3 linked regions of the Struthio camelus genome follow. The protein of the gene in region 1 purifies or fractionates together with the protein of each later gene. This does not show direct contact. Links are inferred from orthologs where the notes say so. Each region holds a gene or a part of one and is shown on either strand. Other genes may lie near its edges. The genes, in order: TEPSIN; AP4S1; iron-sulfur cluster assembly 1 homolog, mitochondrial.

Region 1 (10,165 bases):
AATGCAACAGGAGCCTGCTGTGCCACTCTCCAAGAGTAAGGAGGAAGACAGCCCAGGAGCTAAACAAGAAGCTGCTGCAAAGCTGGTCGGTAAAGAGTTGCTGGAGCACTCTCCACAGGGGCTGGGCAGGCAGCCTGCCAACTCAGCAGAGCAGCGCGAAGGAACTGCAGGAAATCTGGAAGAGGCTGGGCACAGGCGTGAGATTCCTGGGGTGCCTCCCAAGGATGTGAAGGTGCCACAAGAGGAGATAGACAGAGCTGTTAAAAAAGCTGCAGACAACAGGGATCCCCTTCCCGGTGATGCCCAACATGTTCCAGCAGCCAGAAACCACCTAGAAAAGAAGCCGTTGGCAGAGAATTTAGGAGGTCACGAAGCCAAAGCTGGAAGAGATGTCCATGAGAAGAATTCCCTGAAAGCTGTGGAAGTAGCTACAGCTCGCATCCAAAGAGAACAGTTAGGGGCTGCCAAAGTTCAGGGAGTAGTAGGAAAGAGTCTGGAAAGAGACTTGGGAACAGACCTTAAAGCCAAAGCACTGAGTCAGGTGGAGCCCAAAGACCTGGCACTTGCGCCGGCCTCCTCAAGTAAACTGAACGTGGCAGGGAGTGAGCAGCATGTACGGGAGCCTCAGAGAGCTGCAGATACTGAGGGGGGTGAGGGTGCTAATGGCAAACTGCAGCAGGCCTTGCAGAGGGACCTGGCTAGCAAAGTGGAGGTAAAGAAAGAAGCTCCTCGGGAGAACGTGGTGGACATGGTCCAGGACCCTCAGGGAAGTCTCCTGAGCAAGCAGAGGCATGCGGATGGGAGCCTCTCAAATGAGGCTGAGAGGAAGCCAGACACTGAGGACACTGCTGCCCAAAAGCCCGAGAAAGGAGTGGCTGCCCATGGGGACCAGAAGCTGGACCACGATATCAAACCGAACCGGGACCTGAAACTGCAGGCAGACCTGGACCTCCGCCGGAGGAGACGGGACCTGCTTCCTCCCGAAGAGGAGGAAGCTGCACAGGGGGCGGGGGTCTTCATTGGCCTGAACCCCCTTCCAGATGTGAAAGTAAATGATCTCCGGAGCGCTCTAGAGACACGATTAAACCAAGTTGCAGAGGGAGCTCAGCAGGTGGTCCACAGCCGGCAGATCAAACAGATGACACAGGCAGACGGGAGCATGTGAGTGGGGTGATCGCGCTCAGTGGGTGGCTGAGGGTGTTGGCCGCAGGCACGATGCTGATGGGCTCAGTAGGGAAGGTTCAAGTTAACCAGCTGCTTTTTTGGCCAGCGTTGCTCAGACAACGGTCAGTCTAAACCAGCAGCACGTTGTTGGATGCAGTGCTTGGATCCACGAGATCTCCTTGGACTTGTGAATACTGTCCAGGGGACTGTGGGCTTCTCCAGTCTCTGCAAGGGAAACACCTTGTGTGTGCCTAGAGGTGGCCAAGGAGATGGCAACCTTGAAAGAAAATCTCCCACTGTCCTCTGGCTTTCAGAGGTTGCCATCTAACTTGGTTCCCTGCCAGGCCAGCTTTCAAGTACCTTTTCAACGTCTTGTTCATATCGGATTGCCTTCTCCATCTGGCTCTCATTTCCCCTTTCAGGGCTGAGGCAGTTCTCCATGCAGTTCACCCACCTGATTTGGAAAGGCTTCTCTAGCGAGTATGTTGGGTTGCTTAGCCCAGCGTGCTTTGGGCTTTGGAGCAGAGGTCTGGGATTGCAGGCGGGAGGGAGGGGGAACCAAGGAGAGATGCACATCTCCTCTTGAAAGATTTTATTCTGCTTTGGAGATGCATCGATTCAGATTGGATTTAGGGCTGGCTTTAGCCAATTGCTTTGGTATTTCTTTTGAAATGGGAGCTGTTAGTCTTGCATGTTTAGGGGATAGTTGTGGTTTAGGAACCTAGTTTAGTAGAAAATGCTGCCTTAAACAGGCACAACTGCTGCTGTTGTGCTGCCTCTACTCCCAGGGATTTAATTGATTGGCCACACACTAGCAATAACAAAGAGCTTTGCTCTCTCCACCCTCTCCGGATGCTCACACTCTCTTCTGTGCTTTTAAGCTTGACTTCTCCTGTCCAAAGTGCATTATGAAGCTCAACCTGGGGGCTGCAGACTGTCCCCCAAATCAGCTTGACTTTCTGCAAGAAGCGACTAACATTTGGGAGCAGAAAAAAGCGGCTTAAAAGAGTGTTCTTGGGGGCTTGGCTCAAGCATACCTACCTCTTCTCTCTGTAACTTGATGGAGTGTTTGTTGTGTGTTCTTCACAGCCCATTCGACAATGTGTTTTACATCCATCCAAGTAATGTCAGTACTCCGCCCCGGTAACGTGTTTTATGAGCAAGAAAGGGAAAAGCTTCTCTAAGAGTTCTGGTTTGTTTCAGGCTCCCAGACAGTGATTCATCCCTCCTTTCTTTTTTCTTTTTTTTTTTTTTTTTTAAATCCTGACTTGCGAATGTAAGAAATCAAATCCCAAAGCTCTCACTAGAACGGCTGAAATTTCCCAGCCTGGAGTCTACAGACCTCATCACTGTGGTGGTTTTTATATCTGTATCTCAAGTGTCTTTGGTAAACTAGCCTCTCTGCGTTCGTATCCGACGGGATTTCTCAGAGCCGGGGATGGGTCGTTATCAAGCACGTGGAACTGTTGCGCTGGTTCTGGTAAATACCACGGGGAAGGCTCTGCCTTCGGTCTTGGGTACTTTGTTCCTATTTGTCTGCTCCAGCAGTTGGAGACTGCGATGTTTCTGGAACGTGTGCCTGTTGTTTGAAGGATGTTATCTTAATCTCCAATTAAAGTGACACAGAGCCACAGGGCAACAGCCACGGATTCAGCCGAACTGCTTCATGAGGACCAACTGCGTTACTTCCACGTGTGTCTCAGATGTGACTGACATAGCCTTAACCCTCAGGACTTCCTCCATAGTACAAGTGAGCTCCTCCATTACGCTGTCTTAAAGCACAACATGGTTGGGAATCCTTGAACTGCACGTGGCAGAAGGACCGCTGTAGGTGTCCTGTGCTAGCGTTTGTCAGGTGCAGGTAAGGCAATAGACTGCTGATCACATTTCTTAGCGTTAAGTCTGCACTGGGGAGGCTGGTTCATGCTCTGTCCCCTGTGCTGCACTAATGAGCCTTTATAAAGTAAAAGGGAGCTGGAGGAGGAGCTGGATCCCCCTCCCTTCTTGCACTTTGCTGGGTACCAGGGTCTGTCCTGGGCTCTCCCATACATCCCATGTCTGCACGGCAGGGTGAGGACAGGCTCCTTGCCCTGTGGCATCAGGACGTGCCTGTAGCAGTGACGTTCATTGGCATTGAGTCACCTGCATGAACACGAAGGACCAAAGATGCTTCTGACGTTCCTCAGCAAACGGAACAGAAAACGGCCATGGATTCTGGGCATCCCCCACCTCAGCTGGAAGGAGGCAGGGAGCTGCGTTGCCTCTCTGTGCCAGGAACTGTTTGTACTGGGTGTGGAGCGCTTGGCGGGAGAGACTGGAGGGGAGACTGAGCTGTGTAGATCAATAAAATAAGCTGAAGCATTTTTATCTGAATTCTTCTTTGTTTTAAAAAAGCAATCTGTGAGCCCTACTCAGCCACGGGGCTGTGGCCCCCCTGGCAGGGAGAGGAGTCTGCTGTGCTCTGTACCTGCAGGGAGTTACTTTGCCTAAGGAAAAAAAAAAAAAAAGCTTTGTGCTTTCTGCTTTCTTTGAACCTCTCTCTGCTCCACCCTTCCCTGCTGCTGTGGACTAGGGTGGTGAGAATGTGATCCTCCTCCCGCCCCTCACAAACACAGGACCTGTCTTTGGGAGGAGAAATCTGTCTAATTTGAAGTTCACGGGATCAAGCAACTGCAGCATTGCTGCTATTAGAGCTCGAGTATTCAAAAACTGGCTGCAGGATCTGCTGGCTTCCTTCCCTAAGCGTGCTGCGCCTTGGACCGCCAGCTGTTATCTTAACCCAGAACTACGAGCTTGGAGGTCTTGCAGCCCTAAATGCTGGTTTCTGACTCACAAAACGGTGACCAGCTCAAACAGAGCCTGCGCAGAGCCTGGGACCTTGAACCTATAACTTCTTGTTATAGGAAGCTTTGCTCTTTAGCAAAGCTGGAGCTCATATGCAGCTGGGAAACAGGCCTGAATCTGGGACTCCAGACTGGAGAAAAAGAGGATTAGAAAGGAGAAGGAAAGGTCTCTGTGAAGCGTAGATCTAAAGTGAAAGGAGTTCTCCTTTGGCTTAGCGTAAGTGTCTGTAGGCCTGCTCTTTCCAGGCTGGGGCCTGGACGGGATTTTGATCTCTGCTCTACAAGCCAGGGCTGTCTCTCCAGTGGCTATTCTGCATTTCCTCTAAACCTGGCAGTTCTGGCTGCTCAGGGGAAGGGGAAGTGGACTCCAGCAGCCCCAGGGCAGGCAGATGCCAGAGACTTGTTCTAACAATAGAGTAGTTTGAGCATTGTCCGAGTGTACGGCAGCAAACAGAAAGGGAACAGCTACTTGCCGGACGGTAGCTTGGTTTTCCACAAGCTGCTGATGGTTCTCATTTGCTGTTTATTTTGTAACTTAAGGACAAACTGACTCACGTTTTGGAGTTTTATTTTAAAAATATTTTCCCAAACATTTATTTACATGCAGCGTTTGAGAAACGGGTGTACATAGGAGAAGCGTTACGTGAAATACCACCCAGCGCTTCCCTTTCCTTCGCCCGCAGCGACTCGGGCGGCCCCGCCGGTGTGCTCCAGGCCGCACGCCGGACCGCTGCGTCACTTCACCGCCGTCTTCGCCTGCGAAGAGAAGCGACCGCGACGGGGCTGAGGGGCAGCGCTGCCGGCCCGCGTCCCTCCTCGCTGCGGCTCCAGCCTGCAGCCGCGCTCGAGGGAGAGGGGGCTGCTGAGACCCCAAACTCTCTTCCCCCTCCTCGGGGCCGCAGAGCGGAGCGAGCTGGCGCTGGGCACCTACCGCCCGGGCGAAGCAGTCCTGGAGCGCCCGGAACTCCTCGGCGCAGGCGTCCCGCCGCAGCTCCCTGCTGCCGGCCGCCGCCGCGGCCACGCACCGGCCGTAGGCGGCTGCCTGCGGGGAAGGAGCACGGAACCGGGCAGGGAGGGACGGGGCGGGGGAGACGGGCGGGGGGGGACACGAGCAGGACGGACCGGGGGTGACGGGGGGGGGGACGGGTGGGGGGGGGACACGAGCGGGACGGACCGGGGGTGATGGGGCGGGGGGGGAACGCGAGCGGGATGGACCGGGGGTGACGGGGGGGGGGACGGGGGGGGGGGACACGAGCGGGACGGACCGGGGGTGATGGGGCGGGGGGGGAACGCGAGCGGGATGGACCGGGGGTGACGGGGGGGGGGGGGAACGCGAGCAGGACGGACCGGGGGTGATGGGGAGGGGACGCGAGTGGGACGGACCGGGGGGGACGGGCGGGGGGGGACGCGAGCAGGACGGACCGGGGGGGACGCGAGTGGGACGGACCGGGGGGTGATTGGGGGGGGGGGACGCGAGCGGGACGGACCGGGGGTGACGGGGGAGGGGACGCGAGCGGGACGGAGCGAGAAGAACCGGGACGGCGCGGGGCGGGGAACTATAACCGGACTGACCGGGGGGTGGGGGGGACAGGCCAACGGGACGGACCGGGACCGCCTGGGGTGCCGGGCGGGGGGAACCGGCAGCGGGACGGACCGGGCGGGCGGGGCCCCGCGGCCCTACCTGCGCCCCGCAGCCCGCGAGCAGCTCGGGGAAGCGCCGCAGCCGCGCCCGCGCCCGCAGCCAGACGTCCTGGCCCGACATCGCCGCCGCAGCCTCACGCCCTGGGCGCCGCCATGATGGCGCAGGTCCCCATTGGCCGCTCCCTCCGCTCGTCAAAGGGCCGGCGACTCTCGCATTGGATGTTGGCGACCGCCCGCCCAGCGGGGACGCGTTGATAGGGCAGGCTATCCGTCCATCAAAGAACTGCCCTCTGATTGGCTCCGACGTTAGGTCGTGCCCTCGGCCTTCTCGGATTGGCTTGACTGGCCTTCTGAAATCGTGGATTGGCTACGAGTAGTACCCGCCCACTGGCCCCATCTGATTGGTCGCTCTTCCTCAGCAGGCAGTTCTCATTGGCTGAGATGCCGGTTGTTTACTTCCCCTCTCTCGCCCCGTCGCTGGCGGCGTCAGTCTCGTGGGACGCTTCCGCCTGGAGCTCCGCCCTCCCTCCCCGCTGACTGGCTGAGCCAGGGCCCCTCGCGCCCTCATTGGCGAGTGGCGTCTTCCGGGGGGGCGGAGCCTGGAGGTTGTGGTCGGGTCGGGCAGGGACGGGCACTGGGAGCGTCATGGCGGTGCCGCTGCGGGACCGGCTGAGTTTCCTGAGCCGGGTACGGGCCGGGCCGGGCCGGGCGGGAAGAGGGAGGGCTGCCTGCGGGCGTGACGTCACTCTGCCAGCCATGATGTCACTACCACCCCCACCTTGGCCTGGTGTCAAAGCCGGGCTCCCTTGGTGTGATGGTGCAGCCCCTTCCCTGCCCTTCTACTCTGATGTCATAACTGAGCGGTGTGATGTCACTGGGGAGGGGCTGTGACGTCATTAAGGCGGCATGGCGTCACTACGCGGGACTTCCACGAAGGGTTTCCCCAGCCCGGCCGGGGCAGGCCCGGGCCGGGGTCGGGCCCTGGTGCGGGGTCGCCCCGCGCCACTCACGCCGTCCCTCTTGCAGCTGCCCGCGCTGCTCAAGGGCACCGCGGACGACGACGCGCCCTGCCCCGGCTACCTGCTCGAGGAGATCGCCAGTATCCTTCCGGCTCGCTGCTGGCCCGGCCCGGGCAGGCGGCGGCACCGGGGCGCTGCGGGGGCTGAGCTGGGCGGGCGGCGCGGGGAGGGCGGCGGGGCCGGGACAGCGTGCCCGAGCTGGCGCCGAGGGCCCTTGGGGCTGGGAGCAGGGCGAGGCGCGTGAGCAACGCGACGAGGTGGCTGCCCCGGTTCCCTCCAGCCCGCGGTCGCCGGCGCGGCCCGGGAGCAGCGGAAGCAGATTCCTTAACGCTGCGCTGCAGAGATCTCCCGCGAGTCCCCCGGCAGCAGCCAGTGCCTCCTGGAGTATCTGCTCAACCGGCTGCAGAGCAATTCCTGCCACGTCAAGCTGAAGGTGAGCAGGGGCTGAGTGTGGGCTGGCCGCCACGGGGCTCCCCCAGCTGCTGTGTGGCTGCCCTGGCTGCGAAGGGGCCCTGGGGCTGGGCTGGCACCGCCAGGGCGATGGGCTGGCGGGCGGCTGCGGCTCAGCCTTCTTCCCCTGAGACCTGTGTCCGCAGGTGCTGAAGATCCTGCTGCACACGTGCGCTCAGGGCTCCCCCCAGTTCGTCCTGCAGCTGAAGAGGAATGCCACCTTCATCCGGGAGGCAGCAGGTAACGTGGCGAGGAGCAGAGGAGCTGAGGGCAGGGGAGCGGGGAACGGCCCGGCGTGATGCTAGAAACCGCAGCCAGGCTGGGTTGGGAGCCCAGAGCGACTCCCGCCTGCGGGGCGGCCCCAGAGGCTGCGGAGCCTGGCACGGGGTGTCTGAGTTCCTGCGTTCCTGCCCCAACCTGCCTGTGCCTGGGAGCTGAGCGCCCCCCAACCCTCCTGCCCTGTGCCTTGCAGTGTTCGCCGGGCCCCCAGATCCTCTGCATGGCAACAGCTTGAACCAGAAGGTCCGGGCGGCTGCGCAGGTGAGTGCCTGCCCCCGTTCCTCCGTGCCCAGGGGACTAAGTGGGGCCCAGAGCAATGGGGCAGCTCTGGCTCCCTGCTCCCCGGCTCGGGCCAGGCCAGGGTGGCTGCCGCTCCTACAGCTCTCTCCGCCCGCTCTTCCGCCTCTCCCCGCAGGATTTGGCCAGCGTTCTCTTTTCTGATGCTCTGCTCCCCCAGCCCGCTACGCTGCCTGCCCGCCCCCTGCCTCCTGTAGGTAAGTGCCAGCCCCTTGCAGGCCCATCTCCCTCTGCGGGCTGTGCTGGAGGTGCTGAGCTGGTCCCCATTGATGGAGCTGTGTGTGTGCAAGGGAGAGGAACAACAGTGGAGAACAAACACCTGTGTTCTCTGAACATGCTTTGTGCCTCCCCCAGGGATGGGCTCCAAATCGAGCCCCTGCAGCTCCTTGCAAGGATTCGGCTTCAGCAGTGAGAAAAGCAGCTCCAGTAAGTTCCAGCTGCAGCCTTACCTTGGTGCTGTCCGCTCGCCCCGTGCGTCCTTGTGCTGCGCTGGGTCAGCCGTGCTCGCGTGTCTGTGAAGCCCTGGCCCCCTATTTTTGCTTCATGTAGCTCTCCCCTTTTTCAAGCCACCTAGTGAGCGCTGGGGCTGGCAGCGCTGTCGTGCGGTTGGCAGCGGAGGGCTCTGCGGGGCCCTTCCCTGCTGGGAGAGGTGACGGGGATGTGGGAGGCTGATGCCTTTTCCCAGTAGCTCTCTGGGGAGCTGCCTCTGTGCTCCAGCCAGCTGGAGAGGAGGCAGCAATGGGACCTCCTCTTTCATTCCCCAGAGCTGGGGACACCTTCCCCTCCACCCAAATCCCTGCTGAGGGTGAGCTGCACCGTGGGGGACAGATCTGGTCACTCCTTGCACAGCGCCCTTGCCCACCTTGTCCGGCTGCCAGGGCTGTTCCTCTCTGTCAGCCTCTCCCCTTGGTTCCCTTGCAATGTCCTGAAGGACGATGGGTGCCTGGGCTCGGTGCCCGGGGCCTGGGATGGGCTCCCCTGGGAAGCGCCTCATGCTCTGGCCTTTGCCCAGCTTCCACAGGTGAAGTCCTGCTCAGCACCATCCAGCGAGCGGCCGAAGCAGTGGCCAACGCTGTGCTTCCCTCCCAGGAGGGGCCCCGGCTTCGCTGCAGGGAGCTCCACGAAGATGCCTACCAGCCCGTGTCGGCACCCCCTCCCAGGAGGAGGGCGGCAGAGTCTGCAAAACCACCAGCAGCCGCAGCAGCACACAGCATCCGAGGTACGTCACCCTCCTGCACGGGCTGGCATGGCCGTTGACTGCGGGGAAGACCAGCAGGGTTCCCACCAAGGGACTGGGGTGGAGGCCCTGCAAGGGCTGGTTTGGGCTCCTGGGACTGGTGCATCAGTGATGGATCCTGGAGGGAAACCTGCTCCTGGCTGGTCCCTTGTCCTCCGTAGGTGGCACAGGGTTGTGCTGCAATGAAGCTGAACTGGCTGGTGCCCTAGCTTGTGGACAAGGGTTTGGGAACATCCCCAAATCACTTGGTCCAATTGTTTGTGGAGACAGCCGTCATGCAATTTCAGGGCACGCTGGAGGTTGGCTCTGATTTGGCAGCAAGATGCTGTCCCTCAGCTGCTCCGTGGCTCTGTGACAACACAGCCAAGCAGTTCTTTTCCTGAGCTCCCAGCACGATTCAGAGACTCCTGGAAATGTCTGACATGGCACTGAAGTGCAGCCAGCTCTGGTGTGAGGCGAGGCTGCCTGCCAGCATGGGGCTGCAGCCATCGCGGTCTTGTCCTGACTGCTGGAGCAGGCAGGAGCAGCGAGGCCCCAGCTCCAGGGTTCACTGCTCCTTTCCCTGCAGTGAGTCACCAGCCAGGGCTGGCCGCCGGCGGCTGGGAAGAGACGGACAGCGGGCACAGCTCCCAGGACTCCTCGCAGGAGAACGGTGAGCTGAGCCGCACCTCGGACTCCTACAGCAAGTCAGGCAGCGACAGCCACTCTGGGGCCAGTCGGGAGCTGGTGAATGTGGCTGAGAGGTGAGAATGGGGGGCATGGTGAGCTCCCACTCCCCTGAGTCCTTCTGAGATGGTTTCCTCATCTCCCTATGCCCAGGCATCATTGTGCCCTGTCTTTCAACACTGTTAATCTGGAGTGCCCTGAAGCTGCCAACCTGTGTTCCTCCTGGAGTGTTCTGCCTCCCAGGCAGGGCAGCCTTTGGCCGGGCAGGTGAGGCAGTTGGGGCAGGGAGTCTGCCTTGGCAAGGACTCCCTGCAAGGCAGGAGGGCAGCAGGTGAGCCCACAGAAGGAATTTGGGGTCTGAGCTGGGGAGAGCCGGAGTGTGGAGCTCCCAGGGGCATGCATCCTGCCAGAGCCCACTCTGGGGCAGCCCCCCAGGAGGGAGCAGGGCTGGCTCCTGCCCGTGCCAAGACGTTTGAACCCTCTCCTGGTGCAGGGTGGACGCTGACAGCCTGGGCGACTGCCTGCGGGAGGTGAGCCTGGTGACGGCGCTGACTCGGGGCGCCAGGGTC
Region 2 (9,559 bases), on another chromosome or scaffold:
AAAGACATTACTATCTGAAGCCTGTTTGTCAGAAATGAATAGGCATTCTCATTCCAGGTCAGTGGACAACTATCTGCATCACAAATGGGCTTAGGAACAGAGGACTAGAAGGGACTATCCAGATCCTGATGGACTGTCAAGTCCAGCTCTCCCAATCACAGGCAACCATGCATTAGAAATTTTGTCCAGAATAGCCTACAGCATTCTTCCTCCATCTGCGAAATACCTACAAAACCGTACGACAACATGAAGACTCCTGAGAAGCAAAAACCAAAAGCCTCAAAAAAAAAAAAGTATACGTAGAGAACGGGGCATCAGCAAAAGACATAAAAATGTCTTAAAATTGCAAACTTTCCCTCAGAACAAATTACCTTCCCGAATGACTGCGTGGCTCTCCACTTCCTTTGCAAGAAATCTCTTCTGTAAGCATAATTGGGCATAATTATCTACTACAGCGCAACTACTGTAATTTAAACATATCTTGTCATACTGTGTTTAAGATTTTACCCTCTTTAAAGTGTCTCTTGCAGATAAATAGCTATGAGAGAAACTGGTACCATGATTGGCTTGTGTGATTCACAGTTGTAGACTGATAGACTGCGCAATCTTTGATGAATTACAATACAATGGCTTTAACTCACTCTAAACCAGCAAGCAGACAGGCTGAAGACTAAGGACCTCGGCTCATGAAGAGATATGCCTTTTGATTTTAGTGCCCCCAAGCAGGCTCATCCTCCCCTGCCTGAACAGATAGCTAAGGTGTGTGTGAAACAGTTATCTAACAGCCTTGTATTTCAAGGCAACCTTTTATTTAAGACAATCAAACCTGTTTGGTTTTCTGCAGAATGACGAGAAACGGATGGTTCAGGAACACGGCTTCCAGGACAAGCCAGCTCTGTAGGCATGTAGTAAGCTCATGAGATACCTCAATGAAAGTTGTCTGTTTGTGAGTCACACCTCTAAACCAGTATCTGAAGGCAGTGGCTGAAACCTTTTGGAGAGGCACAGCCTGCAATACCTGTTCTGTAGATAAAAGGGAAGCCTTAAATCTCCAGGGTGGCCAACCTAGCAAATTCCACATGCAGTAAATCCAGGAAAACATAATTTTAAGTACTCTTCCAGTAGATGCAAACACTTGACATCATTAACTTATTTTGTCAAGAGATTCCTCCAATATTCATACATACTCTGATAGATATATTACAAAAAACAAAAAACACACAACCTGAGTTTGAGACTTACATCTGGCATTACAGCTGTCACTCAAATTGGATTTCTGTCTACTGTACTGCTATCACAAAGTTTTGCAACAATTCAGGGATCTAACTTAAAATGTAAGTAAGAGATTATATCTGAAAAACAATAAATGCACAACTGCTTTTTAAAAATCTGCTTTGCCAAGAGTTAAAACTGAATGTTAGATAGAACTGTAAGCCTGTAACTTACTGCACCGTTCAACTCAACACAAGGGTATAAATGAACATTGCACTGGTTTTCTGGATGCAGAGATGTGTCTTAATTTGCATGTACTATCTGTAGAACAAAATGAGTTAAACTGTCAAGAGAAGTGAAGAGAGAGAAAAAGGCCTAACTGGTAGGGGCACAAGCAGGCGACAGCATGGGAACAAGTATTTTTGACATACACATTAGTCTATTAAACTATCTGGCTATGCACTTATTGTGAAAAGGTAAGTAGCAAATGAAGACCGCTCATGTAATCAACACCCTTATCCTTCCTATTGTTGTTCTCACCATGGACAAGGCTTTAATAACGGTCATATACAGTTATTACTACTTATCAGTAACAGTACTTGTTTTTATATGGTAGATCTTGTTACTGTACAAAATACAGTTCATCTAAAGATGAAACACCTTTGTCTATGCTGCTTTAAAAGAAATCACTGTGTTCAGCTCCAGGATCAGACATTTAAAAAAAGTAACCTTATTATGCTAGGGAAGTCAGGGAGGAAGGAAAGAGTAAAAAAGTTTTCCTTTGCTGCTTAGTTGTCAAAATCCTGGCTGAATACGGTAACAAAATGAAATTGCAGTAACTCCTCTATGTTCAGGAACAGGGAGCGTCTTAAGACAGTAATTGAAAAAAGGCTAAATTTGTTGAGAGGTTAGTATTCGTTTTTGGTAATGATTCAATACTGTTCATTGGACAATGAAAAAAATCTGCTGATGTTGAAACGACTCGGATTTAGATAGGCTAATCTGCATGGAATCAGGAAGCCCGCAGGATTAAATTTTAGTAGGAAATGATTCAGTGCAGAAGACAGATAGGAATGGGTAAAACAACTGAAATATCATTATGTACCTGAGGAGAGATGAGTGGAGAAACACCAGTACCGAATGAGACAAGTAGTAGCTATTTTTTAGTAATTAACACAATTCCAGATCTATCTGGAGCAAGCCTTCTTTAGGAAACTACCCATATTCTTACTGAATGAGTACAGTACGCAGACATTTGCAAGAGAGGCAAAAGAAAATCCATCTTACTTAAAATGGGTGATCTGCAAGTCGTTTCAAATAGGATGTGATGATAATTTATAAATGCTGCATTTCACAGCAATAATTTGTAACTGGGATAATTTGACCTTATCCATACTACAGCAATAAATGGAGCATTTGCTATCACAGATAAAACTAACCAGATGAAACAAATCAGTAATGCCCTGAAAAATCTCCCTCGTGTGGAAAAGACTGGGAGAAAAAGAAAGGAGAGGAGACACGGACTGCCCCTTCCCATCAAGGGACACAGGAAAACGTTACAGAAGTCCCTTACCCTTCAGTGACATACTCCAAAAATGACCATTCATTAAAAATGATCAGGCAACTTCCCCAGACATACCATGCATTTAAGAAAAGCATTCTAAAGTTCCCTACTTGTGAGGTAAATTAAATGTACCATTAAACTACACCGAATTTTAAGGACTTAAACTCTGCGACTTCTCATCTGTTTTTCTGCACATCAGTTTAAACAGCGAAGCAGCGCCCTTGCCCGCACCGCCGGCCCCTCAGGCCGGGGGCTGCCCCTAAACACCCCTTTAGAAAAACAACACGGCATCTTTGGCCTAACGCACCCAGCTTTATTTCTTATAAAAGGAAAACGATGAGCTAAGGCCCACAGCACAGCTAATGGCCAAAGCTAGAACTATTTCCACCAACTCTTCTAATTACTTTGTAAACTCCCAGAGAACGGAGCTTTTAAAACTTCGCGGGCTGTATCCCGGCACCACGTTATTGCCGAAACTTCGGCCATCGTGACCTCGGTAGCCTTCCCGCAAGCCCAGTGCCGCCGTTGCTGCCTGACGGACAGCGAGAAAAGCGAAGAGCGGCGGCGCTGCCGCCCCCCGCCGCCTCCCCGCGGCGCGGCGGCCGCCAGCCCGGCCACCATCTTAACTCGGGCCGCGCTGGGCGGGGCGGCACACGGCGCCCCGCGGCGGCCGGAGGGGAGACAGGAGGGAAACGAGGGCCATTGCCCGAGTGACTACCCCTTGGTAGCGTGCCACCGCCTAAACCCAGAGCGCGATCTGTCCCCGGGTGCGGAGCGAGAGGCAGGAACCGCCTCCGCGCCCTCCGAGGGGAGCGGCGCCAGCAGCGCCGCCGCCCGCCCGCTCCCACCTCAGCGCGCTCCCCCGCCCCTCGGGCACGGCGCTTACCTCGCTGGCAGGCGCATGCGCACGCGCACCGCAACGGCCGTGCCCGGCCGGGAGAGGGAAGACGGGGGAGCGAGGGAAGCGGTTTTTCCCGGCATCCCGCGCGCGCCGCGCCGCCCCGCTCCCCCCCCCCCCGGCCGCGGGTGGGTGGGCCGATGGCTCGGAGGCTGTAATGGCGGCTGGCGGCAGCTCGGCGCGGCTCTGACATCCGGATACTGCTCGGCGCAGGCCCCCCCCCCCTTCCCCACTCCCGTCCCGACCCACCCCCCCCTCCTCCCCGCCCCAGCCAGCTCCGCTCACCCCCCTCCCTGGCCCCTGCTCCAGGCCCCCGCCGCGGGACGAGGAGGAGGGCTCCCCGCAGACAATGGACGAGCACCCCGGAGCCGGAGGAGGCGGTGGGATGTCGGCCGCCCCGAGACCGCAGCAGCCGCCGCCGCAGACGGCTGGGAACATGAACCTGCAGTCGGGTGGGGGCTGCGTGGGGGCCGGGGCCGGCGGAGGAGGAGGGCAGCAGCAGCAACCGCAGGGCCCGGCGGCCCCGGCCGGCCAGGAGGCGGCGGGCCCCGCCGAGCTGTCCCGGCCCCAGCACTACACCATCCCGGGGATCCTGCACTACATCCAGCACGAGTGGGCCCGCTTCGAGATGGAGAGGGCGCACTGGGAGGTGGAGCGGGCCGAGCTTCAGGTACGGGGGACGAGGGCGGGCTCCGCGGGGAGGGAGCGAGGCGCGGGCTGGGACCGGCGCGGGGGGCCGGGCCGCGGTTCGGGTGCGGGAGCAGAGCCGCGCGGGGAAGCGGAGCCTGTCGGGGCCCGGAGGCCGAGCCGGCCGTCAGAGCGGCCCTGCGGCTCGGCGGCGGTACCTGGGCGAGGTGCGGCGGGCGAAGCGGCGTTGCCGGTCGGCCGGGCTGGCGGAGGCGCAGCCCCTCACGGCCTGAGCTGGGCTCCTTTCCCTGGGGCAGCCATTTTGGTTTTTAGCATGGCGCCCGCCTGGGCTCCGGGCTGCCGAGGCAGCCCCTGCTCGCCAGGCCTCGCCCGCGCTCGCCTGGCGGGGCCCGCAGGGCGCCGAGCGGCGGGCGGGCGGGCGGCCGCTGCCTGGGCGCCGGCCTGCTGCCCCTGCTGCCCGGCCGCCCGGGGCAGAGCGAGGTGCCCCTTGACAGCTGCGGTCAGCTCCCCGAGCACAATGACTCGGGGCCCTGCGGGCCGGCGGCCTCCGCAGCCCTGGGTGCCGCGTACGGAGAGCAAGAGCCTCCGGGCCTGGGAAGGCTGAAGCCTCCCTGGAGCTCAGCGAGCGTTGCTGTGTGGGGAGAGGGGGTTGTGAAGAGTACCTGCTGCCCGAGGAGGCTGAAGGCTAGGAAAGGGTATTCAGGTAAATCTCACGTAAAGGGGTTTCCCAGGCGTCGAGGTCTGGGGCAGGTTGAACGTGTCCCGTCTCTTCCTTTCTCGCTTCTTGAGAGATTTCACATCAGAGAAACAACTGCTGAAGAGCAGTGAGGAGTTGGTAGGTCTGGAGCACGATGGTTTTAATACACATAACAGCACAGACTTAACGTTAGGAACAGAAATTGAACAACCCTGTAGGAGACAGAGAAAGCGTTTGATTTCCAGTGTAGATCACTTGCAAATGGTGTTTGCTTTGAGTGATAGAAAGGGTACCTCAACTAATTGCTTTTTGCACATAAAAATAAAACTGCATAGACTGTCACATTTATATACAAATTACAAAATCTACTGAATTGGAGGTATCCATATATGAATGAATGGATGAGACATTATTGTTGACTATCATTGTCTGTGGCTTTGCCCTAAAAAAATCAAAGTTTATTACTTTCAAATCATTTTTTGTGATGTATGTATTGAGTGAATGTTTACTGTGTTGAAGCAGCATTCCATCAAAGTGCACTGTAATTAATAGCATGTTGCAACAGCAATCAACTTTTGTGGTGGGATATACTTTCAGATTTCAGAAACTAGAACTATACTTGAGCCTGGGCAGTTCTTTCAGGACTTCTAACCTCTGTAATTTGCAGTGTTTTTATTAAAGCTATAATTAAGAAAGAAGCCCCCAAAAAAGTGAAAAATGAGAGGACTTCACTATTTACTTAACTTACTGCAGGTCTTACTATTTTAAGCTTTGTGACACGATTGTTTCTAAAATCAGTTTGGTGCATATTCGTGGGCATTTTCAGTAGGGAACAGTTGGCTATTTCTCTTGTTTTCTCAGCAGTATAGGACTGCGTTTATAAATAAGTTGCCTAGTGGGCATGCATTAGCAAAGAAAATAATCTGAGAATATTTATGCATAGACTTGTTATTTTGAAACTAATACCTCATTCTGAGCTCTAAATGTAAAGCTCAGTTCTAAGACCTTGAAACCTGTATCCAACTGAAAAGTGCTGCTTTTGGCCTCTGGACACTATGATGTGTTCTTGCTAAGTCTCCTGCTTTTGCTTGTAATTGTTTGTCATCCGTGGTCATACTGTTTCTGTTACTTGCATGTTATTTCTGGATGTACTATGGTAGTTCTGACCCTGGCTATGTATGTGTTGAGTCACTCTATTTCATGTGTGCATCAAGTCATGGGATGCAACAGGCATATCACTGCCGTGTATATGTATGAGGGTGTCTTTTTTTATAACATGGCAAGCCCGGGATAGAAATGTAGGGGGCATTGCTATTGGATTTTAAATGTCAACGTGTATGGTGATGATAACTGTTACAGAAATGCGTTGACAATATTTTTGAAAGAGATGTGTTCGACAGGCCTGCTTTGTTCTTCTTCCCCTCTTTTTCCTCTTGTACTCTCAAGCTGTGAAGTCACAGTTCATTCTGTGACTAATAAACTAATAAACAAATAATTCTGTAGCTAATAAAGCCTTAACGTTTTAGACCCCAAACTATTGCCTGTTGAAACTGCTGAGACTGTTGTTCATCTGTGTGATCCTAAGTAGATGTAAGAGTTTTTAGAGGATTTGAGGCCTCCTGGGTTGAAAGGAAACAAGGTTGCAAGTCTCATCCATGCATGTAACTTCTTCCGTTTTTCAACATTACAATAAGCTTTCTAAACAGTCTTTTTTAGTGCAGGTAATTACAGGTTTCTTCCAACCTAAGTTAACTCAATAAGTTTGCAAATGATGCTTTACAAAAGGTATATGGAAAACGAAGTGACAGCAGTACCTTGTGATTTTATTGACCTATTCAGAGGGTTGAATTTTTGGTTGTTACTCTCTGGAAGAATAAGATGCTTTCTTATCTGCAGTATGAAACTAATATCACTGTTGAGTGATTCCCCCCATATGTTTTTTTTTTCTCCTTTCCTTTCTCCTGTGTACTTAAAGTGCCTCAGAGAATTGTTGACCCCTGGTGAGAGTGCCCTTCACATGCTAGAGAAGGTGGGGGGTGTCCTGTAGTAACAGCTTATACTTTTTCAGATCATATAATGATATTGAACACTTTGCTCAGTTGTTCTACCTGTGCATGGGACAAATTTTTATAATTAATTTAAATTACAAGCTACTTATACCACAATCATAATGATTGGTCTCAACTATTTGGTTTTGAAGCAGTCCTGTGCTAGGTGACTTAAGTCACCACATTCATGTCAGTGAAAGACTCTGACTCTAAAAAGTTAATAACTTTGTGCTGTCTTTTCAAACTATTCAGCTCCATGTATGCACAAGTGAAGTGGCATAGTTGTCAAACCTGTGTGTGTAGAGTCGAGTACAGAAATGTTGAATATCGGAGTGCAGTACTTAAAACATAGCATCTTTTTTTCATCATTTTTAATACTGGCTGCCACAGTAACTTTTTTTTTTAAAATTTTCTCCCTGCTGTGTGTGAAGGAACTAATTTGCCTGTACTCAGTGTGTAGATCTTTCAGAGTTATAGGCTGGATTTGTTTTCTCTTCTGTGAACTAAAAGAATGATTCTCACTGTAACAAATAGTGTGTAATTACAGCTGTAGTTTTGATCTGTCCGTATAATGACCTTGATGTTGGTAGCTATTACACTGAAATATATTCAGTCCCTGTGAGCTAGCTAAGATGTTTTTGCACTATAGAGGAGGTATAGCAAGCCCATGTTGCTGGATGTTACATATTTGATGGAAACAATTGTTTCCTTTTGGGGGGGGGTAAGTGCCTCGGTAATCTCATAAAAGATATATGATTGGGGAAACGCTTTGGACAGGCACATACAGAAGCCCTCAGAGAAGGAAGATAAAGCTGTGTTAAGGAGGGGTTCCATGGTGGGGGAAGAAAAGAAAACTGAAGATCGTGCAACTTGCTGGGTACCTAGGAAAGTCAATAGGATTCCAATCTCTTTTCGGGCTTATAGATTGATATGCTTTGCAAGAATCAAAGTCCCAATTATATGATTAAAATAGTGCAGTTTTTTCATGCCTTCTGAAGTAGATAAAAACAAAAGTTGAATACTCCCTGATATTTTAAAATCGCAGAAGAATATACGGAGAGAAACTTAACAGTAGATGCAATATCTGAATGTTCTAATAAGTAGGAAGAATAATTAAGAAACAGAAATACTTTGAACAATGTATATACGGCTGTATGATTAAACAGTATACATCCTACTAGAGAACTCAAATTTACATAAGGATTAATCAGCTTGTTAGTCTGTTTTCCATCATATGAAATGACACTTTCAGGGTCATATTCAGTTCGTAATTTATCTGATTTTTATAAATGTTTTTTTCCTAGCTATTCTGTAACATTATGGGAACAATTTGTTACCTTTGTTGCCTGTCATTTTGTGTTCTGTACATTGGTGTTGAAAAAAATTTTAAAAAGACAACAGCAAAACTCTAAATTTTATTTGGAATCTTCTTTGTGAGGCAGAGGGAAGCAGCTCGTTATAGGAACTTTGTGGACTTTGGGACCCTAGTAAATACTGCAGAATTACATGCTAGTAATAGGCAATTTCTTTTGCTAGCTGTGTTTCCCCCCCCCCCCCCCAACAATTTACAGATGTTTGTCTTCCTGGAGGGTCTTTTAGATTAGAGGTGATTAGAATTTAGAAATTGCTCAGTTAGGCACTTTACATGAATGGTAAATATGTAAATATATGTAAACGTGCACATATAGTGAACTGGATGAGACCATGTTCAGAGTGTAGATAAGCAGTCCAGTAGCAGTAGGTTTCAACGTGTACAAAGCGTAGCAATAACCAGTTGCTGAAATAAGTGGCTCTGTGTTTTGGTTTATTGCAGATATGAGCAGGGGAAATAGTGTTGAGAATTTTTTTCGAAGTTGGAGGAACAATTTGTCTAATAGCAAAGACTTCTTCTCCTTGCTTGTGGCAAGTAAATAGCTTTTCTAATGCTAGATCAGATGTGAAGGAAGTAGTAAGGGTTGCAGGGTGGTCACTGTTTAGTTAAGTGATGAATGTAGGATCGCTGTGTCTCAGTTGAGCTAGGAAGCATGAAGTAAAATTAACAGTATTTTCAAACGAACAGCTTTTTGGAGTTAATGGAATTCTGTGCAAGGGGGATATTGTAGTTGCTAGCAGCTTGTTGGGTCGAAAAGTGTTTGGATGAGTTCATAGAAGAAAAGCCCATTAGGGCTTCTGAATTCAGCCGCTACCTCTGACTCAGGATGCTTTTGGTTTACAAGTCTTTGAAGGTTACAAAGGTATTTTGAGGTTGCTTCTGCTTCTACGTTGTACCCTAGGATCTGCTTGTTTGTACGTGGTTAGAAGCGGGACACTGAGGTAGGTGATCTGTTGGGCTGACCAGGCACAGCTATTCTTAAATTTTCATGGCCAATAAAGTAGCTCTGAAATGCTTTAGTTTTACTATTTTAAAATATACGTGCAGCGCTGCTTTGATACTGTTTTGTTTAGATAACAAAACTTAGTTGATAGCAGAGATTAATTGTGAGAGATTGTAC
Region 3 (10,031 bases), on another chromosome or scaffold:
AAAGCATAAAGAGATTAAAACTAAATTTTAAGTTAATGAAGGATAAGGCTAGTTATTAGAAAAGACAGACTGGAAAAATTCCTTGCAGAAAATCTTTATCTTGCCAAGATTATTTTAGGTATACTGGTAAAGTATTTTTCTAGATATGCCTTGTTTTATACTCTCTCTAAATATCTGCTATTGGCTACCTCCAAAGATTGGAATAATAAGCTAGATCATCTATTCTGACCCAGGACACAGACTCTCTTGTTATCCTAGAGAATTCCAACTTAATCCAACATGGGCATAAAATGAGGGGTATCCTTGATCCAACTTTCATTTCGACTGCAAATCTACACCTTCACAACAAAAACTAAGGCAACAATTTCTATAACAGAATGCTAGGACTTCTGCCTCTATAACTTGTTACTTCAAAGAAGTTCTAACCTGTCCCTTGGCAAACTTATAATTAAGTTATTCTTCCCCACCACCACACAGCTTTGCTTTACTGCGTCAGAAACTCACCATCTTGAACTACTTCTTCATCAGAGTCTCCTTTTGATTTTGTATATTCTAATGTGTAAGAAAGTCCATTGCATCCTCTTGTACGAACACCTACTTTCACACCTACCTGAAATAAAACATTAATGATGTTTTAAACATCTTCTGGAACACCAAGATAAAAAGCATGCATAACAACAAAATGCTGATATTTATTCTTCCCTGTCTCAAACCCAATGCTAAAACAGAAGCTTAATGGATTAGAAGGTAACATTTTTCTCTTTTACAAACTAACTATCAAGGTAAAAGTTAGAACACAAATCATAAATATTTATTACTCATTTTATAACTCTCATCTGGGTTGGTATTGGCAAAAATCTGGCTCTTCATTCCATGCTACATTTGTTCTATTTTATTGCACATTTTATGTGAAAGTGACAGTACTGCAAGAATACATCAGTTGAGTCTACGGTTATACTTGTCATTACCACTTCTGCTGTTGATTATTAATCATTTTATTTATACTAGCAATAAGTCACACATCAGATGTTTGCTATTGTGGACAAAGCCCTAAAGCGTGCTAAACAAAAAAACCCCTACCATTTTAAAGTAATAAACTATCAGCACTTCTGTAGGTGCTCAATGTCATAAAAGTCAGAGTTAAATTTCAAAGACAGAGATTTCTGTGACTTCTAATGAAAGTTTATTAGTTCAGGCACTATTTTAAGATTATTGACAGTAACTTAATTACGAAGTTGTGATGCCAAGCCAAGGGCTGTTACTAGATTTTCATGGAACTCCTATAATGGCTACCAGAAAACTTTCACTTCAATCCAAAGTTTTGAAAAAATTACTTTGTTTGTGATCTTCATTACTTAAAATCAATCCTGTCTCTCCTTTTTGGCAAGTACGTCTATTCATTTATTGTAGTAATCAACGTTAAAGGCCAACCTAGTCAATATGGATAATTGCAAATAATTAAAACAACATGATGTTGTATGTCAGACAAAAAGAACATCTATATAAGTAAGGAGCTGAGAAATGGTTGTAGGGACACACGAACCAGAAAACTAAATCTTCCAAAAGTATCTGTACCTCTGTTCAAACATGTATGCTTCACTACATAATTAGAGAGAAAAAGTACAGTAACCTCTGTAAAAGTGTTATGATAAAAACGTATCCATAGTTGTCATCAAGTGGGATCTCAGACAAACAGCATTTGTTCTTTTCAGATTAAATACCCTTCTCTACAAGGACAGCTAGAAATAATAGGTTAGAAAAAAAAAAAAAAAAAAGAACACCAGTTACAACAAGGGGATGACTAACCAGCTAAGCTGTAGGCTTAAGGCTTCCTTAGGATGGTTTAAAATGTTAAAAAGAGTCTAATTAGTTGCAATCATGCAGGAAGGAAAAGAAACAATAGGTATTTGTACAAAGTTAAAAAAGAAACAACCTTCCTGAAATAGTACTTGCTGTGAAGAAGAAAACCCAACGCTTGTTTTTATGATGTTTAGGAAGGAAGACTGTATGTGTTTTTCCCAAGAAGAAAAAATGACAAGTTCAATCAGTTACTTGGTGAAAAGTGAATTATTATTTACAAAAATATGTTGTCTGGCAAGGTTCATAAGAATTACACCTTTTTTCAATGGGTATGAATCTATCATTATAATTACCTATTTCAGAGCCAGAATTCCTTCGAGAACTTGATTAACAACATCTTCAAATCAACAGTTGGAGATCCTCCAGCCCTACCAGAAGTCACCACCTATGCCATGCTAGAATAGTTACCTAAAAACTAGATTAGAAACATTTTGAAGTTTTAATTATTTTTTCCAATTTTATCTATTTCAAAAGTAACTACAGTGAAATATCATTCATTTTCTGGATTTCATTTTTAAATAGAACTAAAGCTTGATAGATAAATAAGCTGATACATTGCCCTCCAAAAAAGGCATCAACATTTCTAAGGTGTTCAATATTTATTTCAAGCTACTAGGTTAGCCAGAAACGCTTCATAATCATCAACAGTGCTAATACCTTAATACAATCTACAAGATGGCCCCGTTTGCACTTACATGCTCAGGTTTATCTTTAAGAAGTTGTTTTATCTTCTGAATAGCTGATGGAGTCTGAAAAACAGAAATATATTCATCAGTTTGAAACTTTTTTTGTTTTTTTTAAATAATAGACCTAAGTATATTACACATGCCGTAATACACGCAAGTCACATACTGCAAATAAAGCAAAAAAAATTTAATTCCAACTTAATGCAATCAAATTTTATCTTAGTTTACAGTTAAGTTTTGTCTCCTGTCTGCAAAGTCCACTTACAGAACCAACCATCTGTCACTGCAGACTAGTCCTTGCTCTACTTGAAACTGATGCCTGATCTCAAGTTAACCTACTCTTCTGTAAAAAGTAATAGTTGAATCTAATCTGTGCAGAATACAATAACTGTTTACTCCCCTCCCCACCCCTGCTGGCAGCAGATAGTTCAAGAACATCAGTCCTTATTATTTTTTTTCTTTTTGAAAAAGTACTACTATGATTCAATTAAGTAGTTCTGTTCTAGCCAAATTTCTGTCACATAAACATTTCTGTGCCATGCTGATTTTTGTCTGTAACGTATATCTCCTTCCCCTCTCTTCCCATTGACTTAGAGGTGAGCTGTGACTTTACGGAAGATAAACTCATACATAGTTCATGTAGATCCGGTTGTCGCAGAAGTGCAAGACGACATACACAAAGTATACATAAATGTTTCCCTTACACACAAGTTCCCAAGCTACTGAGAACTTTAACTAGATTTGCCTTTCTAATTAACAGTATTAACGTTCGACTGCTACAGAATCACTAGCGTACAGGAACGACCCACCCAGACAAATTACTGAACTAGACATGCTTAGTCTGCCCCCGGTAATGCAGAGTACTTTACCTCTCTCTGCAGTAAGCCCTCCCGACTGTACTGCCTCCGCAACACTACCACAACTAGCAAATGCCCTTCATCAAATAATAGAGGGATATGGAACGTCCTTGGGAACAAGTTTCTGCAGATACTGAATTTCTATTCTATTACGAAAAAATACACCTCTTACGGTGACTGCGCAAAAAGCCACCGCACGTGAGGCTCGCCCCAGTGCTTCCTCCTCTTCCGCTGCCTGCACAGACGCGGGTGAAGACCTGCAGGAACCACCTACCCCGCGGCAGCGCCAATGCTCCAGCGAGCTCTCGAGCCCTTCCACTCCCTAGCAGCCTACCTCTACCCCCTCGCAGCCCCGCCGGGCTAACGGTGCTCGCCACCGCACCTCAGCCGCGCTCCCCCCGCCGTCCCGTCACGGCCTCGCTCGCCGCCCGGCTATAGGCAGGCGGCGCCACCGGCCAGACACAGGCCGCCCGCTGCCCCCAGCGCCCCGGAGGCGACGCAGCACCGCCCAGGGTCGGCGGGCGCCCAGCCCGGGGAAGGCCCCCCGGGCCCGTGGCGCAGTTCTAGCGCCCACTACTCGGAGGCGAAGGGAGAGGTCAGAAGGGCCCGGGCCCGCACTCGCCGCCGCACTGACCAGGGTGAGGGCGGCACGGGTGGCCTGGATCTTCCTCTTGCTCACGGCGCGCACCGTGGCCCGCACCACCAACGAGGCCATGGCCCCCTCCCCTTTGCTATAGGCACAGCCGACGCGACGCCGTGACGCCACAGCACACGACGCGCTCCCTCCGCCCGTCCCTATTGGACAGCAGCGTGTGATTGGCAGCAACCGCTGGACCCGCCTCCCTGCCCCGCCGCCGGGCGTGTGGTTGCCTGCTGACCCCAGGCCCGCCAGCAGGACCGAGCCCCTGGCAGCGGTAGCCGCTCGCTGAAGGGTCCGGCCCCGCAGAGCAATTAACGTGCAGCAGAATCACTCTTAGCGCATAGCCAAGGGAGCCGGGCCGGGCGGCGCCCTGCCAGAAGCCCCAGGGGTAGGCGGCCTTGAGGCAGCGTAGAACCTGCCACTACCGCGCCAGCCGTTAACAGCCCGCTGCCGCGAGGCAGGTCACTTTCCGTTTCAAACAGCGCTCGACCGTTGCGCACGGGAGGGGAGGGAGGAGTGAGGGCTGCTTGCAAAGATAAGGGCAGGAGGGGGAAACCGTCACGCCTCCACCTGAAAGCCCTGGCAGATAATTGCCCTTTGGCTTTACGGGAACAGCATCAGGCACCAGTTTCTAACCCTATTCCAATCCCATCCCCCCCAAGCTCCCACTAAAATCGCGTTAGTAATCCTAAATCTATAGTCCCTGTCTAGAGAAGAGAAATGTCATCAAAGAACACAAACATTTATTAAAGGTAACAGACAAACACGTTAAAGCAGCATAGCATAAGGCTATTCAGTTTTAAGGGTTAGAACCTGAGGCAAAACCCTTACGCTTCAGACAAACTGTTCAGTAAAATATGTAAGAATAGGAAACTAACCTGTATGACAGGTTACAGTTGATGGATCACACCTGGATAATGAATGCACATACATGCATACACAGTAACGTTTTTCCTTGGTCTGTTCTCTTCCCCTTCAAACTACCTCTTTTGCTCCCCTTCTGGATTTTCGCCCAGCAGCGGCTCTCTGAGCAGGCACTCTTTTCACCTCTCATGTATAAGGTGCATAGCAGGGGCATGTCAGTCAGACCTGAAGGATGCTGAAAGGGACTGTTATCTGCTGCTGGTCCCACACTGCTCACACCAGCCCTGTGGAGATGCACTGTGATAACTTCCAGATACCCAGGAGGGACAGCGAGAGCCTTGGCACAGGAAGAGTAATCCCATACTTAAGCTAGATGGCTATGGTGGCAGGAAAAAAAAATGCCCATTTTCCATTTCCTCTGGCAGCATGCCACTGCTCTTTATGACTGAGGCATCATACTTCTACATCAAATATAAAATCAAGATAGTAAATATTTTAAAAAGTTACATTCTCTTTAGCTACACAAAGTATATGCAAATTGTACACACATTCTCATCTAAAACACCCTACTTCAGGGGGGAGGGCTTGAACCAACTATCAGCCTGAAGCTGATGTCAATAAAAATAATGCAACTAACACTTTATTCATGATTCAGTCTACCAGGTAGGTCTAAAGAACTTTACCTTCTTGTATTTACTTAGGATGCTTCCAATTATTACTCTTTAGTCACTTTTCTGTTGAATGGCTCTCAGCATAAAAATGCTGAACATGGACTACAAAAATAGCTTTAAAAAAAAGTGTTTTTCATCTTTAGTACGTTACTAAAAGAAGATAAAGGTTAAAAAAACAATATTAACACCTAAATAGTTCAAGTGAATAACACAAAAGATTGTTAACTTCATCACTACAGAAAAAAATATTTTCTTTGCTAGCAAGCACCCATTCTACATAATCATTTATTGCCCAGAAGTTCCTAGCAAAGATTACTTTTGATGCAGCTTCTGCAGTTCTTATAAAAATTTGATCAGGTTTATAAAACAAGTTCTTGTTAAAGACATTTAAGTAAAGTTTTAATAATGACAAACTTTTTTAATATCTCTACAAAACAAATATCATCAGAAGAGTGAAATCAGAAGAGCTGGATTTGTGGTCTTTAAGATATGAAAATGGTAGCTTTTTAAAAGGAAGTAAGAATTAAAATAATCTAGTAGTTATCTAGCTTTCTAACTAAGATTAAATTGCTAGGATAGGTAAACTAGATAGTTGACCTTGGTTTCATCTTAAGTAACAATAGCTATTACTGAAGCATAGTCAAAAGACACCTCAAATCTTATCTTGATAATACATCAACAAATTAAAAGCAAGAGGTAAATACTTTAACTGTTAAATCTTCACTGTTATACAAAAACATTCACATTACTGCAAATGAGAATGCAGATAGGTTCGTTATTTGGTCCTCATTAGTCTCCAGATTAAAAACCAGAGAGCATAAACCAAGGAGAAAAGGTAGAAGAAATAGGTATTGCACTGAAAATTTCATATTCCAGAACATCAAGACCTCAGTTTCCTCTTCATCTCTGCTAGTGAAAGATTGGCAAGCTTGAAGCTAGAAAGATGGTTAACTGTGCTGCATACCTGAAACATAGAAGTACTTCCCCCTTTGTTCAGCACTGATAACTACTCATAGCACAAGAAACATATACTGACTTTGGAAAAAGAGACATCAAGAGCATGAGGAATTGCTATGAAACAATACAATAACAAATAAAAAAATACACACAAATGAACAGTACTATCAGCTCACTTGCTCACTGTCCCACTGTATTATCTGAGGGACAGTATAGGCGTAGTATAGATCTTTCTGCAGCCTCCTAAAGGCTGAAGGGCTCCTAAAAATAAGCACAAATGTTCCAGAAAGACTCTTCCAAAGATTAATGCATTGCAGTAAATTGAGTGAAGATGCAGGGGCTTCTATGGCTAGGCCATCTGACTTCCCTAAACATAACAACTTTCCAGAAGATAACAAAAGGGAAGTAGTAAGTTAGAAATTTCTAATCGATTAAAAGAGACATAGTGATGCTACAGAATTATGAGCATCTCGGAATTAAACATGAATGCTAAAGACATGCTAGCTACTTAGTGGATACTAAATGTCTGTTCTAGCCCCAGGAGTGTTTATTACTGAAATTTGTTGGAGGGCAACATTAAGAGCAATTCTGTTCAACAGAAAGTGTTTGCTTTTTGATTTTCTAAACTATTAGTCATAGCTTAACTATAAACTATTAGAATCAGTTTATTACTATTAGTTTTGATATTGTTTTTTCTAGAAAAATTGTTTTAATACAGTAGTGTCTTTTCAGATTTTTTTTTTTAAATGTGGAAAGTTGCTCCCTTGAGAATATACTCATGTGAAGCAAGCAGAATCTTGAATGTTATGAAGAATTAACCCACTTTTCTACTTAAATTTTCAACCCCTTTCCTAAGATTCTACAATAAACTAAGCTTTAATAATCAACCCAGCAGATTATGTCTCATCAATACTGTGTTTATTCTGTGTTATGGATCATCCTATTATAAGTTATCACTACATTATTTAAATAGCATTTAGGCAGACAAATGCATTTGTTAGTTACTGGTTTAAGACTTTTATATAAAACTCAAGCGTGTGGGATTTATTTTAGGACCGAGATAGTAACAATATAAAACTTGTAGTTGCATAAGGAAGCAGCAGCTCCAAAGTGAGAGGACTGGGAACCTGCAGAATTAGTTTTCATCCAAATGTTGGTTCAGAAATTTCATAGTTGAAAGCTTCACAGTTAAACCACAAAATGACACAAATGGAAGAGGGTATGTGTAAATCTGATTTTTGTTGTTAAGACATGTTTTCCATCTTTACATGCTATGATGCTGTTGTCCCTTACAGGTTTATACCCGTATATCTGTTATCAGCAAAAACTGAAGATAAATCTGAATAGAGAGCTAATTAAGTCATTGCATACACAAGGCATATCAGCAGCTACATAATTTGGTTATGAATAAAAGTACAACAACTTATTTTTGAGGGGGAAAATTTACTTATTTTGTCTGAAAAAATATGCTATAGAAGAAAGCTGAAAGTTTGTTTGTTGGTGGCTAAGATTTTGCTCGAAAATATGGTGAGAAAGAAGACAAGAATTTTTTTTTTTTTTTTTTTTAAAAAAGGAAAGCTGCACATCTAGAAATTTATAGATGGATGAAACCCAAAATAGGAGTTTGGATCCCAGTACCCTAAGGCCTCTTTGGAAATTCCAGCTTTTACCTTTATTAGAAACAGACAGTTAAGGAGAGAAAAAACTAAACAAACAAAACACATTAAACAGGACACATCTTAAAGAGCAGAGATAATTCTAATAAGTTATAATTATTTCTGCATTTAATTCAAAAATACTGCAAATTAAGTGTAGTGTAAGAAGAAACTTAAACTTGTCTGAATTTTGATTTTTTTAATTTCAAAATCATAAACAGTGGTTTCCATTTTACCATGTAAATAATTATTTCCTGAACAGGATAAGATGGTACATTACCAGTTATGGAAGAATTTCAAGTAAGGTTCAAGTTGATAACATTAATTATTGGCTGGTAGAAGGATTCTCTTCACATTTTATGAAAATGGAAATGCGTTTTCCACAATTGCCAAATAATATATATATATATTTTAAATCCTTAAAGCAATTTTGTCTACATCTTCAAGGCCATGAAAAAAGATTTTTTAGCAGCAAACAGGACTGATCTGTCTTAGTCTTTTTTTTCTCCCTGTATGCAAGTGCAGCAATAAATGAACTCTCATAAAGTCACAGAAGCGGGAGGGAACTCAACAGCACTGTTTGCCCACAGAGATTTTTTTTTTTTTTTTTTTTAAATACATAAGTTTACTAATGTCCATGTTTTCAGTTCTCTACAGAAAAAAGTTCGCAAACACAGCTGTAGCAGTCTACAAACATTTCAAACACATTTACACAAGGATTCAGTAAACAATCAACATTAATAAATACTATTTCCTCCTTCAAAAAATCAATTCTTGAAGAAAATAGATCATTTATTTGGCTTGCACACAATTTTAGTGCATTTTGAAAGGATCAGGTTGAACAATAAAACCTTGAAAATGGTCCATTTTTAGTACCTGCCCTTATCTACATGTTTTACCTAGTAAACAAATACAAAACATCATGGCTTTTATTAAAACGCTCAAACAATCTATTCAAGAGCAGGGGTCCATGGTAGGAGACAATATTAAAATCCATAGTTTTTTGGACTAGCAATCTAAAATAAAATACCCATGTCTCTTTAAACTTTAGTTGAGGATAGTTTATGCTGCTGTCCTGTGAATCCAGATGCTTTAGCCAAAGGAGAGAGAAGGGAGGGAAGCTTTTAAATGAACGAACAGCCTGCATTGCAATTTAACAGTGCTTCATATCCCTCATGATTCTTGCTGGGCCCTCTTCTGTGAGGTTTTCCGAGTTATGTATTTATTGGAAAGGCTGCCTAAGATTGGGGGGGAGGGGGGAAGCATTAAACTTTAAAAGTTAAGAAAAACAAACAAACATAAAATAACTGAAACATTCAAACATCAGTCAGGAGAAAAAAAACTGTTGAACTATGATAAAAACAAACACAAGTCAACTTAATATTATTAGCTGCTAATGGACAGCAGGGAATATTAAAATATAAAGATGATAATTTTTATAACTAAATCCTAATGACAAATCACTGTGTAAAAAGCCCAACCTTAAGTCTTGAGAAGTAGTGAAAATAGAAAATACTCCAAAATTGAGAATTTAATTTGAGACACTTGATTGCAGTTTAGTTTTCAGAAGTTTGTGAACACTGTTTATTTAATTCCCCCTTTAGATGCCCCAAATGAGAGCTATGTGAAGGTTTGCAGAGTTGCATTCAAGACTCAAGGTAATTAAAAAAGCAGTTTTAAAAAATCTTCATTGTACCATTAAATGAGTTAAGTGTGTAAAATTATTGTAAGCAAGCTGCAGTTGCAACCATACATCTAACAATACACACATCTCTGATCCAGAGACAGCACATAAAAGCCTTTGTCATGATCTGACTGTTGCTTGCCAGTATAATTAACTT

What was found.
Region 2: the proteins of TEPSIN (region 1) and AP4S1 purify together in Homo sapiens (co-immunoprecipitation; 3 studies listed by BioGRID and IntAct, with this or other methods). This does not show direct contact. The link is inferred for Struthio camelus from reciprocal best matches to the Homo sapiens genes TEPSIN and AP4S1.
Region 3: the proteins of TEPSIN (region 1) and iron-sulfur cluster assembly 1 homolog, mitochondrial purify together in Homo sapiens (co-immunoprecipitation; 3 studies listed by BioGRID and IntAct, with this or other methods). This does not show direct contact. The link is inferred for Struthio camelus from reciprocal best matches to the Homo sapiens genes TEPSIN and ISCA1.

The regions. Positions count from the first base shown.
Region 1 is NC_090960.1:1,482,721-1,492,885, reverse strand, and holds the start of TEPSIN (AP-4 complex accessory subunit tepsin), read left to right. Parts: upstream 1-6,222; 5' UTR 6,223-6,293; coding exon 6,294-6,335; intron 6,336-6,674; coding exon 6,675-6,747; intron 6,748-7,008; coding exon 7,009-7,100; intron 7,101-7,263; coding exon 7,264-7,357; intron 7,358-7,589; coding exon 7,590-7,657; intron 7,658-7,811; coding exon 7,812-7,890; intron 7,891-8,047; coding exon 8,048-8,119; intron 8,120-8,705; coding exon 8,706-8,912; intron 8,913-9,498; coding exon 9,499-9,673; intron 9,674-9,749; coding exon of another isoform or gene 9,750-9,863; intron 9,864-10,089; coding exon 10,090-10,165. Other genes in the region: SLC38A10 (solute carrier family 38 member 10), read left to right, coding at 1-1,165. UniProt on the Homo sapiens protein: Associates with the adapter-like complex 4 (AP-4) and may therefore play a role in vesicular trafficking of proteins at the trans-Golgi network.
Region 2 is NC_090946.1:53,284,603-53,294,161, reverse strand, and holds the start of AP4S1 (AP-4 complex subunit sigma-1), read right to left. Parts: upstream 4,649-9,559; 5' UTR 4,520-4,648; intron 4,345-4,519; coding exon of another isoform or gene 4,024-4,344; exon of another isoform or gene 3,809-4,023; intron 3,789-3,808; exon of another isoform or gene 3,663-3,788; intron 1-3,662. Other genes in the region: STRN3 (striatin-3), read left to right, coding at 4,024-4,344. UniProt on the Homo sapiens protein: Component of the adaptor protein complex 4 (AP-4). Adaptor protein complexes are vesicle coat components involved both in vesicle formation and cargo selection. They control the vesicular transport of proteins in different trafficking pathways.
Region 3 is NC_090981.1:14,445,469-14,455,499, reverse strand, and holds the start of iron-sulfur cluster assembly 1 homolog, mitochondrial, read right to left. Parts: upstream 4,292-10,031; 5' UTR 4,119-4,291; coding exon 4,038-4,118; intron 2,610-4,037; coding exon 2,556-2,609; intron 611-2,555; coding exon 505-610; intron 1-504. UniProt on the Homo sapiens protein: Involved in the maturation of mitochondrial 4Fe-4S proteins functioning late in the iron-sulfur cluster assembly pathway. Probably involved in the binding of an intermediate of Fe/S cluster assembly.